Canis lupus familiaris: one gene and its partners. The protein of the gene in region 1 interacts with the protein of each later gene in a biochemical or structural test. Links are inferred from orthologs where the notes say so. Each region holds a gene or a part of one and is shown in the gene's direction. Other genes may lie near its edges.

Evidence for each region.
Region 2: of the proteins of PARP1 (region 1) and H1-5, one has a biochemical effect on the other in vitro, tested with the Homo sapiens proteins (2 studies listed by BioGRID). The link is inferred for Canis lupus familiaris from reciprocal best matches to the Homo sapiens genes PARP1 and H1-5.
Region 3: of the proteins of PARP1 (region 1) and CASP7, one has a biochemical effect on the other in vitro, tested with the Homo sapiens proteins (3 studies listed by BioGRID). The link is inferred for Canis lupus familiaris from reciprocal best matches to the Homo sapiens genes PARP1 and CASP7.

Annotation. Positions count from the first base shown.
Region 1 is NC_049228.1:38,472,980-38,479,155, forward strand, and holds part of PARP1 (poly [ADP-ribose] polymerase 1), read left to right. Parts: intron 1-1,793; coding exon 1,794-1,941; intron 1,942-3,095; coding exon 3,096-3,236; intron 3,237-4,736; coding exon 4,737-4,979; intron 4,980-5,108; coding exon 5,109-5,177; intron 5,178-5,391; coding exon 5,392-5,524; intron 5,525-6,176. UniProt on the Homo sapiens protein: Poly-ADP-ribosyltransferase that mediates poly-ADP-ribosylation of proteins and plays a key role in DNA repair.
Region 2 is NC_049256.1:26,525,017-26,531,169, reverse strand, and holds H1-5 (histone H1.5), read left to right. Parts: upstream 1-3,117; 5' UTR 3,118-3,163; coding exon 3,164-3,844; 3' UTR 3,845-4,034; coding exon of another isoform or gene 4,035-4,475; 3' UTR 4,476-4,746; downstream 4,747-6,153. Other genes in the region: H2AC16 (histone H2A type 1-H-like), read right to left, coding at 4,035-4,475. UniProt on the Homo sapiens protein: Histone H1 protein binds to linker DNA between nucleosomes forming the macromolecular structure known as the chromatin fiber. Histones H1 are necessary for the condensation of nucleosome chains into higher-order structured fibers.
Region 3 is NC_049249.1:24,893,572-24,899,847, forward strand, and holds the start of CASP7 (caspase-7), read left to right. Parts: upstream 1-2,680; 5' UTR 2,681-2,824; intron 2,825-6,276. UniProt on the Homo sapiens protein: Thiol protease involved in different programmed cell death processes, such as apoptosis, pyroptosis or granzyme-mediated programmed cell death, by proteolytically cleaving target proteins.

The DNA of each region.
Region 1 (6,176 bases):
CTGTTGTAGTGGTTTTTTTGGGTTTTTTTGTTTTTAATGGGAATGCATGTTGAATTCTCAGGATACCAAAAACTCACTTGGAAATCCTCAGTTGGGACTGTCTGCACCCTCAGACTCTATGTGGGCAGGGCTGCCTCACTTCTTGTGCTTGTGCAGGAGGCCAACAAGCCTGTGGGCCGGTGGCACGAGACTTAGCATGTCACTCGGGTGTCCCCCTGGCTCCGTCAGCACAGCACCTACACTCGAACTCTTTTCCTGCCACCCTCTTGCCTCCCCTGCTTGCTGCCATCATTGTACCCCACCTCGCTGTTTTCTCTAAACTTGTACTTGAGCAATCACTCAAAAACAGCTCTGACCTCATCACTGCTTGTGTCCTTAAGACCTCAGTGATTGCTTGGGTCACGTGGAAATATTCTCCCAGTTTTTCTGAGTTTGCAAATGTCACATACCTGAATGTGGTACCTGTACCCCTTTTACTATCTCTGAGAAAATGAGATCATAAGGAGTGGGGACCCATTTTGTATTTCACAGGCCAGTTGCACAGCATTGTGCTTACTTTTGAAGGTACCTGTGTGTGTAGGACCTATTTTCAGGTCCACAGTGCTTGCTGCCTGTGCAGATTCACGGATTCCCAGCTCCATGCGAGCCTGCTGCTCTCTGTGGGCCTTCCTCAGGCTCTGTGCTGCCCTTGTCTTCCTGGGTACTGTCACTGCCACTGCACATGCACACACACGGTCTCTCTAGCTCGTTACATTCCCAGCAATAGAACACTGACCCCCCCAGTGTTCCCTGCATCCCACAGTATGTCAGTCATACGTCTTTGCTTGGACCCTGCTTTTTTGGCCCCTAGCTGCCTAAACAGGTCATTGCCTCCAGGGAGCCCCCCCAAAGTTCCCCATCTGTTGTCACATTAGCCTTCAGATGTCTGACCCAGTCAGCACTGAACTGCTTTCTTGAAAGAAGAAACTCTTCATAACCTCACCATGATAATATGGCACAGTAAGTGTTCAGCATGACTTGGAGATGGTCTGTTGCTCCTTTGATCCGGGGCATTCATGGAGCACAGGTACACGGGAGTGGGCTCTTCCTTGCCTGCACCATGCTGTTCCTGAACTCCGGCGGAGTCCTTATGGAACACTTGTTGCTCTCAGCAGCCACGTTACCTTCTCAGAAGGGAGGGGAGCTCTCTGGTTTCCTCTCGGGAAGTAACCTCTCTCCCAGTCAGTGCAGTCTCGGGACGTGGGCATGTGACCCCTGAGGGGCCTCTCGAGGGCCAGGCCTGGGGGTTTCAGGCCGTGGCAGCTGATTCATGATTGGTTGGTTGATCTTTAAGGAAAACTCTTTGCTTACAGCATCCATGCCAGCATTATCCTAAACGTGGAAGCACTAGAAATAAGCACTGTGTTTGCAGTGATCGTGTATTTTGTGCTGGAAATCTCGAATCTTTTTTAGGATTTATTTATTTTAGAGCAAGCAGGGGGAGGGGCAGAGGGTGAGAAAGAATATCTTTGGGCGGTGTGGGGGGGGGCGATCTCAAGCAGGACCTCCCCCTCCACTGAGCATGGAGCCTAACAGACTCCATCCCACGACCCTGAGATCACAACCTGAATGGAAACCAAGAGTCAGACATAACCCACTGAGCCCCCCAGGTGCCCCATTGTCTTGTTTTCTTGTCATTCCTTATCACAAGAAGTAAAATGAAATTCCTTAGTTTGAACGGACCAAACCTTTGCTGTGGCAGACGGTAATTTTAAGGGAGAACTGGTTTCTTAACTGAAACTTTAATTCTTTAGGAATTCCGAGAAATCTCTTATCTCAAGAAATTGAAGATCAAAAAGCAGGACCGGATATTTCCCCCTGAGACCAGTGCCCCAGTGGCAGCGGCACCTCCGCCCTCCACTGCCTTGGCGCCTGCTAGTGTAAACAGCTCAACTCCGCCAGGTAGGGCTCCAGGGCCGCCTGCAGGGGGGGGGGGGCCCATGATCTTAGCAGGAGGAGGGTCTCTCCAGATTCTCTGTTTGCCAATCCTTAGGGCAGCCTTACCGAGAGTGACATTCAGAATGTTGTCCAAACCACACGACAGACTGCTTTCGTGCCTCTGGGCAGCCCTGTGTCCGTCAGTCATCCTGAGCCTGATGGGATGGTTGGGTCTTTTGCACACAGAGACCTGCTAGAGACCTTGGCCGCTAAAGCAGGTTCCAACTCCTATGAATACAAATATTCCACACCACAGACACAGATCAGTTGGTGGTTTTCCATCCAGAGAAGAGACTTGCTGCCTTTGTTCACTCAGAGACACATGGTATAGCCTAAGGGCTACAGCCACAGGTGGGTGGGTGGAAGACAAGGGGCTGACCCTGCATGTGAGCCTGTTAATGACCTCCTCCTTCCTCCCAAGGAGGCCTACGTGTGCATGGTCATTCTGAGTCAGTCTATTTTTTGGGGTGTGGGGTCAGTCTTGACTTGCCCTCACAGGAAGGGCTTGAGGGACGTTTCCCTCCCTGTTCTAGGAGTGCGGAGCCAGCCCTGATCCACCCTCACCACACCTAGGCACAGCCCCTGTCATGGGGCTTTCTGATCTGGGCTCTGTTCTAGGGAAGTGCCAGGGTCTTTGTGTTTGGAATCGGTTACCTAGCTTGGCATCCTGCTGACCACAGCGTGGAGTGACTGCCCTTAATGAGTCTTAATCTATTTGATGAGGTTCATAAGTATCACATAAGAAATTGCGAGTTGGGAAAAGAAAAGTAATGGGAGCTCAGCTCTCTGCCTCCCATCCCACTACCAGCCTGGTGGTCCCCACATGCAGCTTTCTGGGTCTCCCTGTGGGACAGAGCCAGGAGACCCTGCTGGCCAGGCCAGCCTATTCACAGGACAGTGTTGTTATGTGGCTTTTCCCCTAGCCTGGTCCTTTGTGTGTTAGGGGACGAGACAGGCTCTCCACTTGCTGTCCTATCCTGCTTTCCCAATAGCCCTCAGCCTCTATTTTCATATACTTATCACTCGGGCACCAGAGGGGAGCTGAGGGTGTCCAGGCCCTGCAGCCTGTCCCAGCCTCCCTGAGACCTCGCTGCCTAACCACTGTTCTCTTTTCCCAGGTAAGCCATTGTCCAACATGAAGATCCTGACTCTTGGGAAACTCTCGCGGAACAAGGATGAAGTGAAGGCCATGATTGAGAAGCTCGGGGGAAAGTTGACAGGCACAGCCAATAAGGCCTCCCTGTGCATCAGTACCAAAAGTGAGTTGAACCAGGACACCTGGGTGGCTTAGTGGTTGAGCACGTCTGCCTTTGGCTCAGGGCATGATCCTGGAGTCCCAGGATCGAGTCCCACGTCAGGCTCCCTGCATGTGTCTCCTTCTGCCTGTGTCTCTGTCTCTCTTTTTATGTGTCTCTCATGAATAAATAAAAATCTTTAAAAAAAAAAAAAAAGTGAGTTGAACCTGGTTGTAGAACAGGTGCCCAGTGTGCTTCCTGCCATGGCGGTGAGCTTGAGTAAGGGGACACTGAGTATGGTGTGGCATCCGCAGGGCACTCCCAGGTAGGTGTCTGGTCAGCAGCATTGTTTGGGTCTGAAGGGATACCAGTGCCTGTATTTTGTGAAGCCACTCTGTCCTGTGTGTTCACATGCTTTCTCTCCCGAGCTGACCAGAGCGCCTCACTTTGGGGACATGAATGGTCTTGGCACAACCACAACCACTGGGGGCTCTGAAAAGCACAGCAGCTGCATGGACAAGCTTGGGGGTTTGAGGAACAGCAGAGCCGGGGCGGGGCTGACAAACACTCACCTCCTATACGAGGGCTCCTTCAGGACCAGGAGAGGTACTTGTCTCACCTACCCATAGAGTGAGGCAAGACAGAAAAATGGGGATGAATTCAAAACAAAAGAACACAGTAAAGTCTCAGAGGAAAAAATCTTGAAGGATTGGAGATAAGTAGCTTACCTAGTCAAAGGCACTCCACACACTGGAAGCAGGACAGATTCCTGCATTACCTGTGAAAAGCTGGTGCTGGTTCCTCACAGAAGTGGAGCAGACGATCCTGAGATGCATGTGGAACCACAGATGCTCCAAACAGCCAGAGCAGTTTTGAGAAAAGACAGAGCAGGAGGCATCATGCTCCTTGATTGCAAACTACATTATGAGCTCTAGTATCAGAGTAGTGTGGAGCTGACGTGTGAACACCCAGAGGTCAGCGGAACAGGGTAGAAAGCCAAGAATACACTCTGGAGAAAGCCAGATCCCTGCCTCACACTGCTCACAAAAATTTACTCAGAATGGATTGTAGACTTGTATGTGAGACCCACAACTACAAAATTCATAGAAGAGAGCACAGAATAGACGGTGAGCTCCTTGACCCTGGTTTTGGTGATTTTTGACTCTGGCACCCAAGAAAAAAAACAGACCAACAGGACCACATCAAACTAGAATGCTTCCACATGTAAGGGAAATTGTCCATAGAATTAAGGGGCATCCTGCAGAGCAGGGGCAACCAGTTGCTTGTTGTGTGCTTGGGGATGCCCTGGGGAGGTGCAGGGTCGAGCACTTTCCTACCGTTTGGGCTGCAGGTGGCTCCTCTTCTGGGGTGCATCTGCCCACAGGCCTAGACCCGTGTGCAGGAGGCGGCACTGTACATGGGCCCCCAGCACTAGGTGACAAGGAGGGGCTCAGGCTCAGTCAGCAGGGCTCTGGCTTTACTTCACAGTTAATGCTTCGGCCGTTCTTCCCCTGGTTTGAACAGAGGAGGTGGAGAAGATGAACAAGAAGATGGAGGAGGTGAGAGAGGCCAGCATCCGAGTGGTATCTGAGGATTTTCTCCGGGACGTGTCTGATTCCACCAGGAGCCTTCAGGATTTGCTCTCCGCCCATGTGCTGGCTCCCTGGGGGGCTGAGGTGAAGGCAGAGCCAGCAGAGCCTGCAGCCCCTAAAGCCAAATCAGGAGCTGCGCTCTCCAAGAAGAGCAAGGGCCCGGTCAAGGAGGAAGGTGAGGCCCACAAACTCCTGAGATGGTCTGTGGATGCTGGCAGACTGCTCCCTCGCCCTGCCTTCCACCCCACCCGTATTTCCTAGTTCTGTTTTACTTGAGCAGTTACAGTTCTTGTCCCCTTCCAAGGCGTCAACAAATCTGAGAAGAGAATGAAATTAACTCTGAAAGGTGGTGCTGCTGTTGATCCAGATTCAGGTGAGCTCACAGGAGCGGGAGTGGATGGGTGGTCAAGAGACTAGGGTGCCCAGGCTGCACCTGTGCCCTCCTACCTCTTGGGCGTCATCTGACTGGCAGTATGGTGTCTGGGGGTGTGAAAGCCCCCCGCCCCTTACCGCCTGCAGACCTCCTTCTCCCAGAGTGCATTGGCCCCTCATGGGAGTTAAAACAGGGCACCCTGCCTCTTCCACAGGTCTGGAACACTCTGCACATGTTCTGGAGAAAGGTGGTAAAGTGTTCAGCGCCACCCTAGGCCTGGTAGACATCGTGAAGGGAACCAACTCCTACTACAAGCTGCAGCTCCTGGAGGATGACAAAGAAAGCAGGTGTGTTCTGGGGACAGGACGGAATGCCTGCGAGGTGGCCCCGTGAAGGGGGTAGGCCCGAGAGGGGTGTGGGGAGGCCTGGTTCCCTAGAGTCTGGCCCCCCAGCTTCACAGGGTGTGTTTTGTCCCACCATCTCCCAGGACTCTTAACAGCCCTTTGAATCCAGAGTGTCTGACCCCTGTACACACGTTTGGAGGTACAGTTTGGTGGGACCAGAACTTGTGGGTTAACCTGGACTGTTTCTTGTTAGCAAGTAGAAATTTTCCCCACTGGAAGTCCAGGAGTTAGTTGAAAGGCAGAAGCTGTGTAGCGGTGGCCCTGTGGGAGCCAACTCAGCCCTTTTAAGAAACCGTGGCCAGCGGCTATCTATAAGCAGTGGGTGGCTTGGTTCTTCCCACTGCCTCTACTTCTCACCAAAAGTTTCACCTGGAAAGTGGCTCAGAAGTGACCCTGAGGGTCCAAACTATCTAGTAGGCTACTTAGATTTTCTGAAGAAATAAGCCTTCCAGCATGTGGATTATCATCTGCTCTGGTGGCCCACTTTAACTGGTTTTCACTGAAGGGGCAGCATGGGCTTTCAGATCTGGACATTTCTTCAGGACAGTTGGGGAAAGCACCTCCCAGACCTTTCCAGGGAAAAACACAAGCAGGG
Region 2 (6,153 bases), on another chromosome or scaffold:
TTCTGCCAAATGATCCCAATGCTCCTACTAAAGAAAATTTCATCTTCCTGGCTTTCCTGTGATGTGAAGGCCTAAAACGATAATTGATTGCCATACGTGTTTGATTTTCCAGTATTTCAGTGTTCAGAGGATGCTCTTGGGCTTTTGCATATGGGACTATTGTGGAAAATGGACTAACAATCACCTAGATGTTAACCCTGTAGGCTGTCTATAAAATAAGCTCACAGTAGCCCTAAAAATGTTTAAATTTGCCTGTCTAAAGATGTACTACTCAGTCTGAAATTGGGTTCTCGAAAAAAAAATTTTTTTTCAAGTAGAGGTTCAAACGGAATTAAATCATTTTTTAAAGCTGTTACAGGTTTCCACACTTAAAATCCGGAGTTTCCTAACAATTTGGCTGTATTACTTTCGTCCAGTTATTTTAAGATTTTAAAGTCTTGTGCTTTTCACACGAGTATCATTGACTCATTTTGCTTCTTTTGACTTCAAATCCTACCTAAATCCAGGAGGTAGGAATTTTTCTCTGGAGGTTTTTTTTTTTTTTTTTTTTTAATCAGATCAGTTCAGCCATCTGGGCCTTAAATTTCCCCTATATTCATGTTTGTCCTTTCAGAAAGGTTCATATCTCATCTGCTGGCACCTAAAGCGTTTTGGAATGCCTGGGGATTGAGGAACTGACCCAAGGGGCCAGAACCTCTCCTTTTAAAAGGTGGGTTTTCTTTTTCTTTCTTTTCTTTTCTTTTCTTTTTTTTTTTTTTTTTTGATTTTATTAATTCTTTCATGAGAGACACGGAGAAGGCAGAGGAGCAGGCTCCATGCAGGGAGCCTGAGGTGAAATCGATCCCCGGATTCCAGAATCAACGCCCTGGGCTGAAGGCAGGTACTCAACCCCTCGAGCCACCCAGGCATCCCCCATATTACAGATCCGTTAGTGATTCTTTAGTTGTAGGGACTATTTGATGCTGCCTCTTAAAAGCTTCAAAAATTGTTTTCTCCCCATTCCTTTTAGGATTTTCCCATCATAATAGAGCTGAGGCAGGTGTTCTAGGTTCAAACCTCAGAGCTGGGAATTACTAGCCTTTGGCTAGTTACTCATCCTTTCCCTGGGTATCAGCTTGTATCACTGTGAAATATGGCAAATGAATTAAAACCGTTGAGCATTCTTAGATTAGTTTCTGGCATGTAGTGAATGCTCACTGAGTGTTAGCCTTTACTACACCTCTATCCAGTCACTTAAGCATGGAGGTCCCCACCACCACCATGTCCACTGTGATCTGAAAGGTTTGTGGTTGAAATAGTGGTACATGCTTGGTTAAAACATTTGTCTTGTTAAGATCTTTTCTTTGATTCTTCGTTTGCATTGTTCTGAAAGAGGCAGGCTTGTTAGCAATATGCCATAATCTATGTAGAGAAGTCAAAAACATAGAAAAATGGCCAAATTGCAAATATTTGGGCTTTGCAGGCCAAAAATGGTCTGTCATTTTTTTTTCTAACACAATTTTAAAAATATAAAAACCACATTTAGTTTGAAAGCCCATGCAAAACAGGACACTGTCCAGATTTGGCCTTCATTAACTATAGTTTCAACTCCAGGAGTTCCTTGGAGGGAAATACGTTGATGACTTTAAACTTCCTTACAGTTTTTCACAGGGAAGAACTAAGTGAGTGTTGACTGCAGTAGAGATTTTAGTCATCATTAGACCTTCCTAATCAGCCAGTCAGAAAATCCTGTCCATTCCCTACACCAGCCTCTTCCCAAATAAGTAGCAAAGTTACCCACCCTCCATTCCAACCTCATGGTTATTTCTTCAGTTATCTTGGGTGTTGTATTCTTTTTTTTTTTTTTTTTTTAAGATTTTATTTATTCATGAGAGACACCTAGAGAGAGGCAAAATTAGGCAGAGGGAGAAGCAGGCTCCCTCTGGGGAGCCTGATGTAGGACTCAATCCCAGGATCACGTCATGAGCCAAAGGCAGATGCTCAACCACTGAGCCACCCAGCTTCCCGGATGTTGTATTCTTGACTACTTCTGAGTGTCTATAACTTGTATTCCTTCAATTGCCAATCCAGTCTTCTCATAGTCCGTAGCCACCTATTTCTCTTAAATAAGGTCTCTCCTAGCTCATAACACAATAATGCTCACATTACAGAAAGGTGTTTCTGACAGCGCACTTTATTACATATTGATGGAGATAAGGACTTTGAATTGGGAAGTATTGGGAAGAGTACCTTGGAAGTCTGACAGAGTCCCATGTCACCTACAGTCTGTGTTTTTGAGGACTCCTGAAGCCCTTGAATACTTCCAGCAGGTTTGAGGTTTTCCTCCAGCACTTTATCTGTGCTAAGCATCTTTCCCATTTATTATAATGGATTTGCCTAATACTAAAGGTAGAAAGCATCTCAATAAAAAACATATCAAATTTAAGTTTTAATTCAAATTCAGGTCATTGGATCCTCAAGCCAAAGCTATTCCTCCTCCTCCTCCTGCTGCAAGGTAGATATCATTCTGGCTACTAAACTTTCCCAAACAGCCAAAGACATTCTCTAAAGACATCGGGCGTGTGAAAACTCCCAGGAGGCAGAACTGGCTTTTGAAGGAGGATCTATGTGGTTAATTTGGGGCTGCAGGCAAGCTGCTGCCCTCCCTCTGTGTTACTAACTACAGTTTATTCCCAAACCGAGAACCTGTGTCTTTCCTCTTACAAAAATCAAAGTGCAGACCTAGGGACATTTTTTAACATGTCCACTTGATACTTAGTAGAACTTACTGCAACTTTGAACTAACTACCATAATGCCTTAAACCCAGTGGATTCCTATGAAAAACTGAAAAGATTTAAAAAGAAAAATCTTTCATCTGTTGTACATGATTCATGAAAACACGAATCCGCATGTGAACCTAGAGACTGTTTTCTTCCTTGAGAGCTTCAACACGTCAAATTCTGTATAATAATTTTCAGTATTTAATCAGATTTTGGGAGCTAACAAACACAATTTGGGAGTCCAACCGCGAAGGGCGGCTGCCTGAGGGCAGTGGATTGGACGCTCCACCAATCACAGAGCAGCACCGGCTTATATAAGCCCCTGGCCGGAGTCAGGCAGCATTGCAAGACCTGCTCTTTCGTTTTTCCGGTTCTCTTCCTGCAGCGGCTTCTGCTCTCGGCCATGTCGGAAACTGCTCCCGCTGAGACGGCTGTCCCGGCGCCGGTGGAGAAGTCACCTGCCAAAAAGAAGGCCACCAAGAAGGCAGCGGGCAGTGGCGCTGCGAAGCGCAAGGCGTCCGGGCCCCCGGTGTCCGAGCTCATCACCAAGGCGGTGGCCGCGTCCAAGGAGCGCAACGGTCTCTCCTTGGCCGCGCTCAAGAAGGCGCTGGCGGCCGCCGGCTACGACGTGGAGAAGAACAACAGCCGCATCAAGCTGGGCCTCAAGAGCCTGGTGAGCAAGGGGACCCTGGTGCAGACCAAGGGCACCGGCGCCTCGGGCTCCTTCAAGCTCAACAAGAAGGCGGCCTCCGGGGAGGCCAAGCCCAAGGCCAAGAAGGCGGGCGCGGCCAGAGCCAAGAAGCCCTCCGGGGCCACTCCTAAGAAACCCAAGAAAGCGGCGGGGGCGAAGAAAGCCGTGAAGAAGACCCCCAAGAAGGCCAAGAAGCCTGCAGCCGCCGGTGTCAAAAAAGTAGCAAAGAGCCCTAAGAAAGTTAAAACGTCTGCCAAGCCTAAGAAGGCGGCCAAGAGTCCTGCCAAGCCCAAGGCGGTGAAGCCCAAGGCCGCCAAGCCAAAGGCTGCGAAGCCAAAGGCCGCGAAGCCCAAACCTGCCAAGGCCAAGAAGGCGGCCCCGAAAAAGAAGTAGGAAGTTTTTGCCCCTTGAAAAAGCCGACAAAGCCCCAAAGGCTCTTTTCAGAGCCACCCAGGTTTTTTTAAAAACAGCTGTACACTTAGACACAAATCTTGGTAATGGTTATGTAGCTTAATATAAGGCATTTTGGAAAACCCTGCGCTGTGTGCGGTCGAACCAATTGGTTCGGTGCTACGGTTCGGTACTACAACTGTGGTCCCACCGTTTCCCAGGGAATATTTTGGTTTGGGAGTTTTTTACTATAGAAGTCTAATTCTTTTCCTCCTAGCCTTGGCAGCAGCACGGCCTGGATGTTGGGCAGGACGCCGCCCTGCGCGATGGTCACGCGGCCCAGCAGCTTGTTGAGCTCCTCGTCGTTGCGGATGGCCAGCTGCAGGTGGCGCGGGATGATGCGCGTCTTCTTGTTGTCGCGGGCCGCGTTGCCCGCCAGCTCCAGGATCTCGGCCGTCAGGTACTCCAGCACGGCCGCCAGGTACACCGGCGCGCCCGCCCCGACCCGCTCCGCGTAGTTGCCCTTGCGGAGCAGGCGGTGGACGCGGCCCACCGGGAACTGGAGCCCGGCGCGCGACGAGCGCGTCTTGGCCTTGGCGCGAGCCTTGCCGCCCTGCTTCCCGCGACCTGACATGATGACAGACAACAGTGACTTGGATCGGAACAGATGGAGACCAAGTTTCAGTATTTATTATAGTCCTTACTGGGCGCCAAAATGAAGCTGTCCTATTGGCTGAACTTCGACTTTCATTAGAACCAATGCAATTCTGGTTTTCAAATACCCTTATTTTGATTGGATAGCTACAGGATGCTATCCAGAATTTACCACAAATCACTAGAGTTTAATCTCCTTCGCGTGAGGCTGTGAGTAAAGACTGCACGTAGTAACTGTTATTCTTTCCCCTTTTGGCTTTTGTTGGAGGGGAGTGGAGGTGTTGGGGAGGGGAGGGTTAGTTATTTTCCACCATGTCAAAGCAGTCAAGTTTAAGAAGTACACCAGGTCCAAGTGAGCCCGCCAGCGGAAAAGGTATTCGTCAGACACCCAAAGGCTTTTTTTTTTTTTTAAGAGCCATCCACACTTTCCAAAGAAAACTAATACTGCCTTTACCCTGACTTAGAGTTAGGCAAAAGCACATTTTCATCTGAAGGCTTTTGTACACACTCTAATTTTGCACAGAGTTACATTTTGGCCTTGTATGTTTTCAATAGGATCTAGCCTTTTTTTTTTTTTTTTTTTTAAGTTACAAACATCAAGCACTCCAAATTAATTTTATTGTGCATATTTCATTTAACATCCAAATTCTAAGAGTCATCCATGGAGTTAATTACTGAGAAAACTGCAAATTTAAGGTGAAAATGAAAAATAACCCTGAACTTGCAGTGAAAATCTTATTGTCAGAGCTTCAGTTTTTCTCCCTTTAGGTTATACCACCATTTTCCAGTCACCAACACCACTTCCTTTAGGGTAGAATGCTCTATGAATCACATAAATTGATTTAAAGGAAATTTACCAAGTCACATTCCCTTTCACTTGTTTTGTAACATCAGTGCTAGTTACCTACTTGCTACCTTACTCTAGGACTACATTTGCACAAAATAACCTGAATGGTGTTGGGATAAAGATGGATAAAGAGGAAAATGAGAACTAAAATTAATCACCTCTTTTCATCAGTTAAGGATGAAGATTGCTAATCCAGGCTGTACATCCGTGGTTGAATTTTTCTACTGGTTTACTCTGTACACGAGTCCTGGGGAAACAAGGTCCTCCACACTCCTCCACCTCTGCATCTTTTCAAGTGAAGTTCCACAAAGATGGGAAATGATCTTGCTTCATATTCATCACTCATATTTTCAAGTCCTCTATTTCTGGTCACTGATTTTCACATGGCTAAGTCTCATTTTATGTTAGAATATACATTTTATGAAAAATAGCTATATTTTTCAAAATAACAATTTATTTATTTTTTAAAAGATTTAAAAAAAAAGATTTTTTTTTATTTATTCATGAGTGACATACAGAGAGAGAGAGAGGCAGAGAAACAGGCAGAGGGAGAAGCAGGCTCCATGCAGGGAGCCTGACATGGGACCTGATCCTGGGACTACAGGACCAGGCCCTGGGCGGAACGCAGGTGCCAAACTGCTGAGCCATCCAGGGATCCCCTAAAATAACAAAATATAGAAGAGGGGCAATGTTTTACATTTTGTAAATATCTTTAATATCAGGTTAATAGAAGACAGTTGGATTCTTGCACAGTATTTGTTTCTGCATTCAATCTGTTGCTATATAATTGTCAAGTGAAAAACAGTAGAAA
Region 3 (6,276 bases), on another chromosome or scaffold:
GCTCCCTGCATGGAGTCTGCTCCTCCCTCTGCCTGTGTCTGTCTCTCTCTCTGTCTCTCATGAATAAATAAATAAATTCTTAAAAAAAAAAAACATATCTTTCCTGAGCCAGCAATGAATTCCTGTGTGCAGTACGTTTTAACGTTTGCATTATATAACCTATGGTAGCTAGAGCCTTCTTGTGAATGGAAAATTCATTATTTTTTAGGCAACCTGGTCCTGGCTCTGCCGCTAGCCAAGTCTGGGATAGGGGCCACTCCTCTGAGCCTCAGATTCTTTTCCTATAAAATGAGCAGAGGGATTTGTTGCTAAAGCCCTTTCCAAAATCTAACATTGTGTTTCACTCTCTTTCATGAATAACTTGCAAAAAATTTAATTTAAATTAAATTTATGGATCAGTAACTAATTTTCTTTACTGATAGGGAGTTTTCATTTCTTAAATGATTCACAATAAATTCCTTCAAAAAGCAAATTATCTCAGTGTCTACAGGACTCAGTTACCACTTACATTTCAGAAACATGATTGATAGAGTAGTGCAGCCTGTCTTAGCCAGTCTGGGCTGCTATAACAAAATACTACAGACCGTGTAGCTTATAAACACCAAAAATTGATTTCTCACCATTCTGGAGGCTAGAAAGTCCAAGATCAGGGTGACAGCATAACAAGCTTCTGGTAAGAGCCCTCCCTGGGGATGCAAACAGTAACTTCTGCTTACATCCTCAGAGGGTAGAAAGAACCAGAAAGCTCTGTCCAGCCTCTTTTTAGAAGGGCACTAATCCCACTCACCAGGTCTCCATCCTCATGATTTAAGCACTTCCCAAAAGCCCCAACTCCTAATACCATCACGTTGAGCATCAAGTTTCAACACATGAATGGGAGTGAGGCACACAAACTTTCGGCCTATTCCACAGTCAGTGGAAAAGTAACGAGACTGCTTAAAATTTTTGCAGAAGTTAATAAATTATAATTACGCCCTGACACTTACCTGGGGCCAGTCTTTCTTAAGTCAAGAAAGTGTCCTCACCTGGGCGAGATCCTAGAGACAATACTGAAGTCTGAGGCCCAGGATAAAGCAAGCAAACAAAAAGACAAGATGTGGTTCTTGCCCGATCTCACGCCATGAAGGTTTCCATTCATTCAAGGCCCAGGAAGTTCTTTAAACGCAATTATTTCTGGTATAAATAAAAGTGTCATTTTGGGGATCCCTGGGTGGCTCAGTGGTCCAGCACCTGCCTTTGGCCCGGGGCGTGATCCTGGAGGCCGGGGATCGAGTCCCACATCGGGCTCCCTGCATGGAGCCTGCTTCTCCCTCTGCCTGTGTCTCTGCCTCTCTCTCTATGTCTATCATGAATAAATAAACAAAATCTTTTTTTTTTAAAAAGTGTCCTTTCTTCTCAGAGCCTCAACGCGTCATTAGTTAATTAGTTGCTGTCCCAGAGGCGTCTTGGAGAGAAAGGCATTGCAGGCGCCGGCTTCGGCCCAAGGGTGAAGAAAGGCAGAGTGCGGGGCTGTGGGAGCAGCAGCCGGGCGGGGGGCGGGACCAGGGGCGTGCAGGCCCCGCCCGCGGTGGGCCGGGTCACGGCCCCATGCCCAGTGGCCGGCACTTGGGGGCGCTCACTACTCTGGAGGGACCTCCGGCAAGTTCGCCGCGCTGCGAGGCGGGAGCTCGCCACCCGAGAGCGGAGTTCGAGTCCTGCCGCCCCCGCGAGTGGACACCGCACGCCCACCGGCGGCTCCAGGCCGGCCCCGGAGACGGGGACTCCAGTGCTGCGGGCGCCGAGCACCCCCTTCCCAGGGTCGGGGGCCCGGCGGGGGAAACGCCGTCTGGCTGTGGGAACGGGGTCCCCGCGGCGGGTGCGGAGGCCCGAGTGGGGGTGCGGACGGGGGCCGCAGCGGGAGGGGAGGAGGCGGGGAGCCCGGCGGGCGCCCGGTCCTCGAGCGCCGCCGAGTCCGCGGGGCGCGCTCTTCGGCGCGCGGCCGGTGTGCAGAGCGCGCCCCCGGGTCGCTGCGGGCGCCGCCGCGGGCTCAGCAGGTGCAGGTGCTCTCCCGGGGCTGCGGGAGAACTCTCCCAACTCTCCGAGGGCGCCGTCCGGGGGCGCGGCCAACTGCGCCCGGGCGCCTGCCACGTCCCCGGCCACGCGCGCGGCCCGCCGCGTTCTGCAGGGCGCGGGCGCGCGTGGGGGCGGGCCTCGGGGCGCGCGAGACACCTCGGGGAGAGCGCGGCCGCGGGAGCGGGAGGAGGTGCCCCGGCCCCGCCCCCGGCCACGCCCCCGGCCACGCCCCCGGCCCCGGCTCCGTCCCGCCCGGAGGACTGGCCGCGCGACTCCGCCCCCGGGCCCCGGCCCCGCCCCCAGGCCCCGGCCCCGCCCCCAGGCCCCGGCCCCGCCCCCAGGCCCCGCCCCCGGCTCCGCCCCAGACCCCGACCCCGACCCGCCCGGGGGACTGGCCCGCGCGACTCCGCCCCCCGGGCCCCGCCCCCGGCCCAGGCCCCGCCCCCCGGCCCCGCCCCCGGCCCCGGCTCCGTCCCGCCCGGAGGACTGGCCCGCACGACTCCGCTCCCGGGCCCCGGCCCCGCCCCCAGCCCCGCCCCCGGGCCCCGCCTCAAGCCCCGCCCCCGCCTCCAGCCCCGCCCCTTCCCAGGCCCCGCCCCGACCCCGGCTCCGCCCCCGACCCCGCCCCGCCCCGGGGACTGGCCCGCGCGACTCCGCCCTCGGCCGCCCGGGCTTTCACTTTCGCTTTCTTGCGGGCGGCCCCAGACCCTATCCGCGGAGGGACCGAGACGGACGCCAGCCCCGCCGCCCGCCGCCCGCCGCTGCGGACACGGTAACCTCGCGGCCCCCCTCGCGCCGAGTCCGGGGAGAGGGCCCGGCCCAGCTCGCTCCGCTCCGCCCAGCCCAGCCCAGCCCAGCCCAGCCCAGCCCAGCCCAGCCGGCCCTCGGTTCCCTGCTGGCCGCGGGCCGGGACAGCCCTGCAGCTCGGCTTTTGGGAAAGGGGGCGTGGAGGGAGCCGGGAGGGAGGGGGTGGCGGTCTCGCCCGGCTGACCGCGAGCGCCCCGCTGTCGGACCACCCTGGGCGCTGGTCCCCGCGCCGCTCTAAGTCAGCCGCGGGCCTCGCTGTGCCCGTCTGTCAAATGGGAACGGTGCTGATCGCGGCCTGGGGGGCGCCGGGAGGATGGAAGTTGGTCACCGGTGCATATAGCAGGAGGGCCTGGGTCAGGGCTCAGTGTGCAGGAGCTGCTGACCTCCTGCCTGGGGCCGCTGGTGCAGGGCCCTTGAAGATCTCTTGAGGAGGTGAAAAAAACAGGACCACAGTCGACCTTGCAACCTTTCACCGTGTGTTCAAGTTTATCGTAACGGAGCAGTAAAATTACCTGTGGGTTACTCTGTGTGGGCCATGCTCAGGCTCTTCCCTTGAACTCTTGCTCTGGTGGACTGTGTGGCCCTGTCCTTTATTTACTTACAGCCTATTTCCTCCTTCAGGGGCTGCTGACCTTCAGCCCCTATGAACAGCCCTCACCTGGGTTCATAATCCACCTCTGCTTCCTGTTAGTTGTGTGGCCTTGGGCAGGTTACTTAAACTCTCTGAAGAAACCCAGGTTTCTTCTGCAATGGGCAGGGGCTCCAGCCTCCTAGCAGTGCTGCGAGCCTCTGGTGACAGGGGTACCCAAGTACCAGGGGCGCCTTCTCCAAGTGCCAAAGGTGAAAGGTCCTCAGGGCTGCTTCTCTTTGAGCCTTTTAGGGAGATTGTCTTCACTGGGGCAAGAGTGGGGGCAAGTTGCGTTATGCCACTTTTCAGAGGAAGTAGATGCAATGAGTCCTCCCACTCATGGAAAAAAAGTTCAGGATATAGCCAGAAGTGATTTCCTACCAGATATGTACCAGTCGCCTATTAAAACATGTTTAGGAACAATCACCAGAGAAATATTTTTTCATTCTCTGTAAAAGCTGCTTAAAATATCCGTGAAGGTTGGCAGTTGAATGTGTTCTTGGTCTTGAGTTCTGCTGACAGTGGCGATAATAAGGAATGTTTATTGAACATCTAGAATGTGCTATACTGTACTTAGTACTTTACATGCGTTTTTCCATTCATCTCACAGCCTGTGACTTAGGCATCATTATCTTCCCAATTCACAGATGAGGAAGCTGAGGCTCAAAGAAATTGAGCCCCTTTGTTCAAGGTCCCATGGCTAGTAGATGGAGGAGCCAGTTTAATCCCTGATCTGCTCTTCCCATGACTGGGCTCTCAACTTGGTTGTGTTCTCTGTCCTGTGTCAATAATTTATTCAGACACTGAATGATTTAAACATTTTAAGTATATTTTAATTAAAACATTTATTAAAAAAATATTTATCGGGACAGCTGGGTGACTCAGTCAGTTAAGCATTCAACTCTTGATTTCAGCTCGGGTCATGATCTCAGGATCCAGCCGCTGCATCAGGCACGGCACTGGGCATGGAGCCTGCTTAAGATCTGTCTCTCTGCTCTCCCTTTGCCAATTCCCCCCATCCTTCTCTTAAAAGAAAAAAAAAGAAAGATTTATTTATATTTTTTTAAGATTTTATTTATTTATTCATGAGAGAGACAGAGAGAGAGAGAGAGAGGCAGAGAGGGAAGCAGGCTCCATGCAGGGACCCTGACGTGGAACTCGATCCCGGGTCTCCAGGATCATGCCCTGGGCTGCAGGCGGCGCTAAACCGCTGAGCCACCAGGGCTGCCCAAAAGAAAGATTTATTGAGTGTCCACTATGTTCTGTCCAGAACTTTTCTATAACTGAAACAAAAAAGGGTAATTAAGATACACTCTAGTTGAGATACACTCTCTGTTCGCAAAGAGTTCGAATCTTACTGGATACTAATGACAATAAGGATGACAAGAGCTAACCGGGAGTGCTTACGTGGAGCTCCTGGCAGTGCTAGTGCTTTATGTGCATCACGTACTGATTCATTTAGAGAGAAGATCGACACGTGTAATTGAAGACAGATGCGCTGTTGGATGAGCAGGAGCACTTGTGTGCTGACTGTTCTTTATGGCCTGAACCCTAAAAGAGGATGAACACTGGAAAACAACACTAGGCCTGCCCCATCTAGGCACAGCAGAGCTGAGATAGATAGATTTTCCTGGTGGGCTCTGAGTATGAGTGGAAATACAGGGTCAACACCACATCTTGGCTTGGCTGAAATGATGTGGCCGACATCAGGCACCCTGCTGGGTCAGCACCCTTGTTCTGGGTGAACTTGATTTTCCCCAGAAATCAAGCCTGGCCTCATGGGAGTAAGAAAGTCACTGAATGTTTGCTGTCACCCTACACAGTGCTCAGCATCAATCCAGAAAGAAGCTGTAGGTTTCAGACGGAAGACCCTTCTTGCCTAGTGTTTGGGGGGAAAGCTCATGGAAAGCCTCCCACACTGAACCATAGAAGTGAGACTGAATTTTATGTCTTGGTAGCCAAGTCCAAAGTCCCCTCCATGTGGCTGGGAAGGACAAGGACTTTAAGCTGCACCCCTGCTTTGATGGAGCGTGTGTGCAGTTCCCCTCTGCCTGCAGCACCCCATCCCTGCCCTCTCTGCTTCCCCTTCTCAAACCTCAGGTCAAATATCTCCTTCCCTGAGAGCCCTCCTTAATTCCTCCGAGGCTCAGGAGGGTCCCCTGGTATGGCTTCGGATGGTTGGTCCCTGCGGCACTCACCACAGGGTAGCTCGACATTTGTGCCATCCTTTTATTAAAACCTGCTCCCTGTCAAGGCAGCACCAGGTCAATGTGGTCCCAGCTTCATCCTCTGCTCCTAGCACACAACCTGCTGTGTTATCCCCCCAATAAATATTCAATGAGTGAATGAAGGGGAGTTGCCAAAACTCTTCTCAGCATTCCCCGCAACATCAGAACAAACATCTGGCTTTCTTAGGAGCTGTTTGCTTAGGATTGTCCTTTTTAAAAAGTTGGTCACATTGTTAGCATCCGCAAAAGGCTCAAGGCTTAAAGACCACATGTCAGAGGTAGTGTCTTTTTCTGATGAATCTTGTATGACTTTAACTTGTTATCTTTTAAAATGTTTCTGTGCTTTGCTAACAACAATGCCCATGAAAAGTAACTAAGTCGGGGCAGCCCCGGTGGCCCAGCGGTTTAGCGGCGCCTTCAGCTCGGGGTATGATCCTGGAGACCCGGGATCGAGTCCCACGTCAGGCTCCCTGCATGGAACCTGCTTCTCCCTCTGCCTGTGTCTCTGCCTCTCTCTCTCTCTCTCTCTCTCTCTCTCTCTCTCTCTCTCTCTGTGTCTGT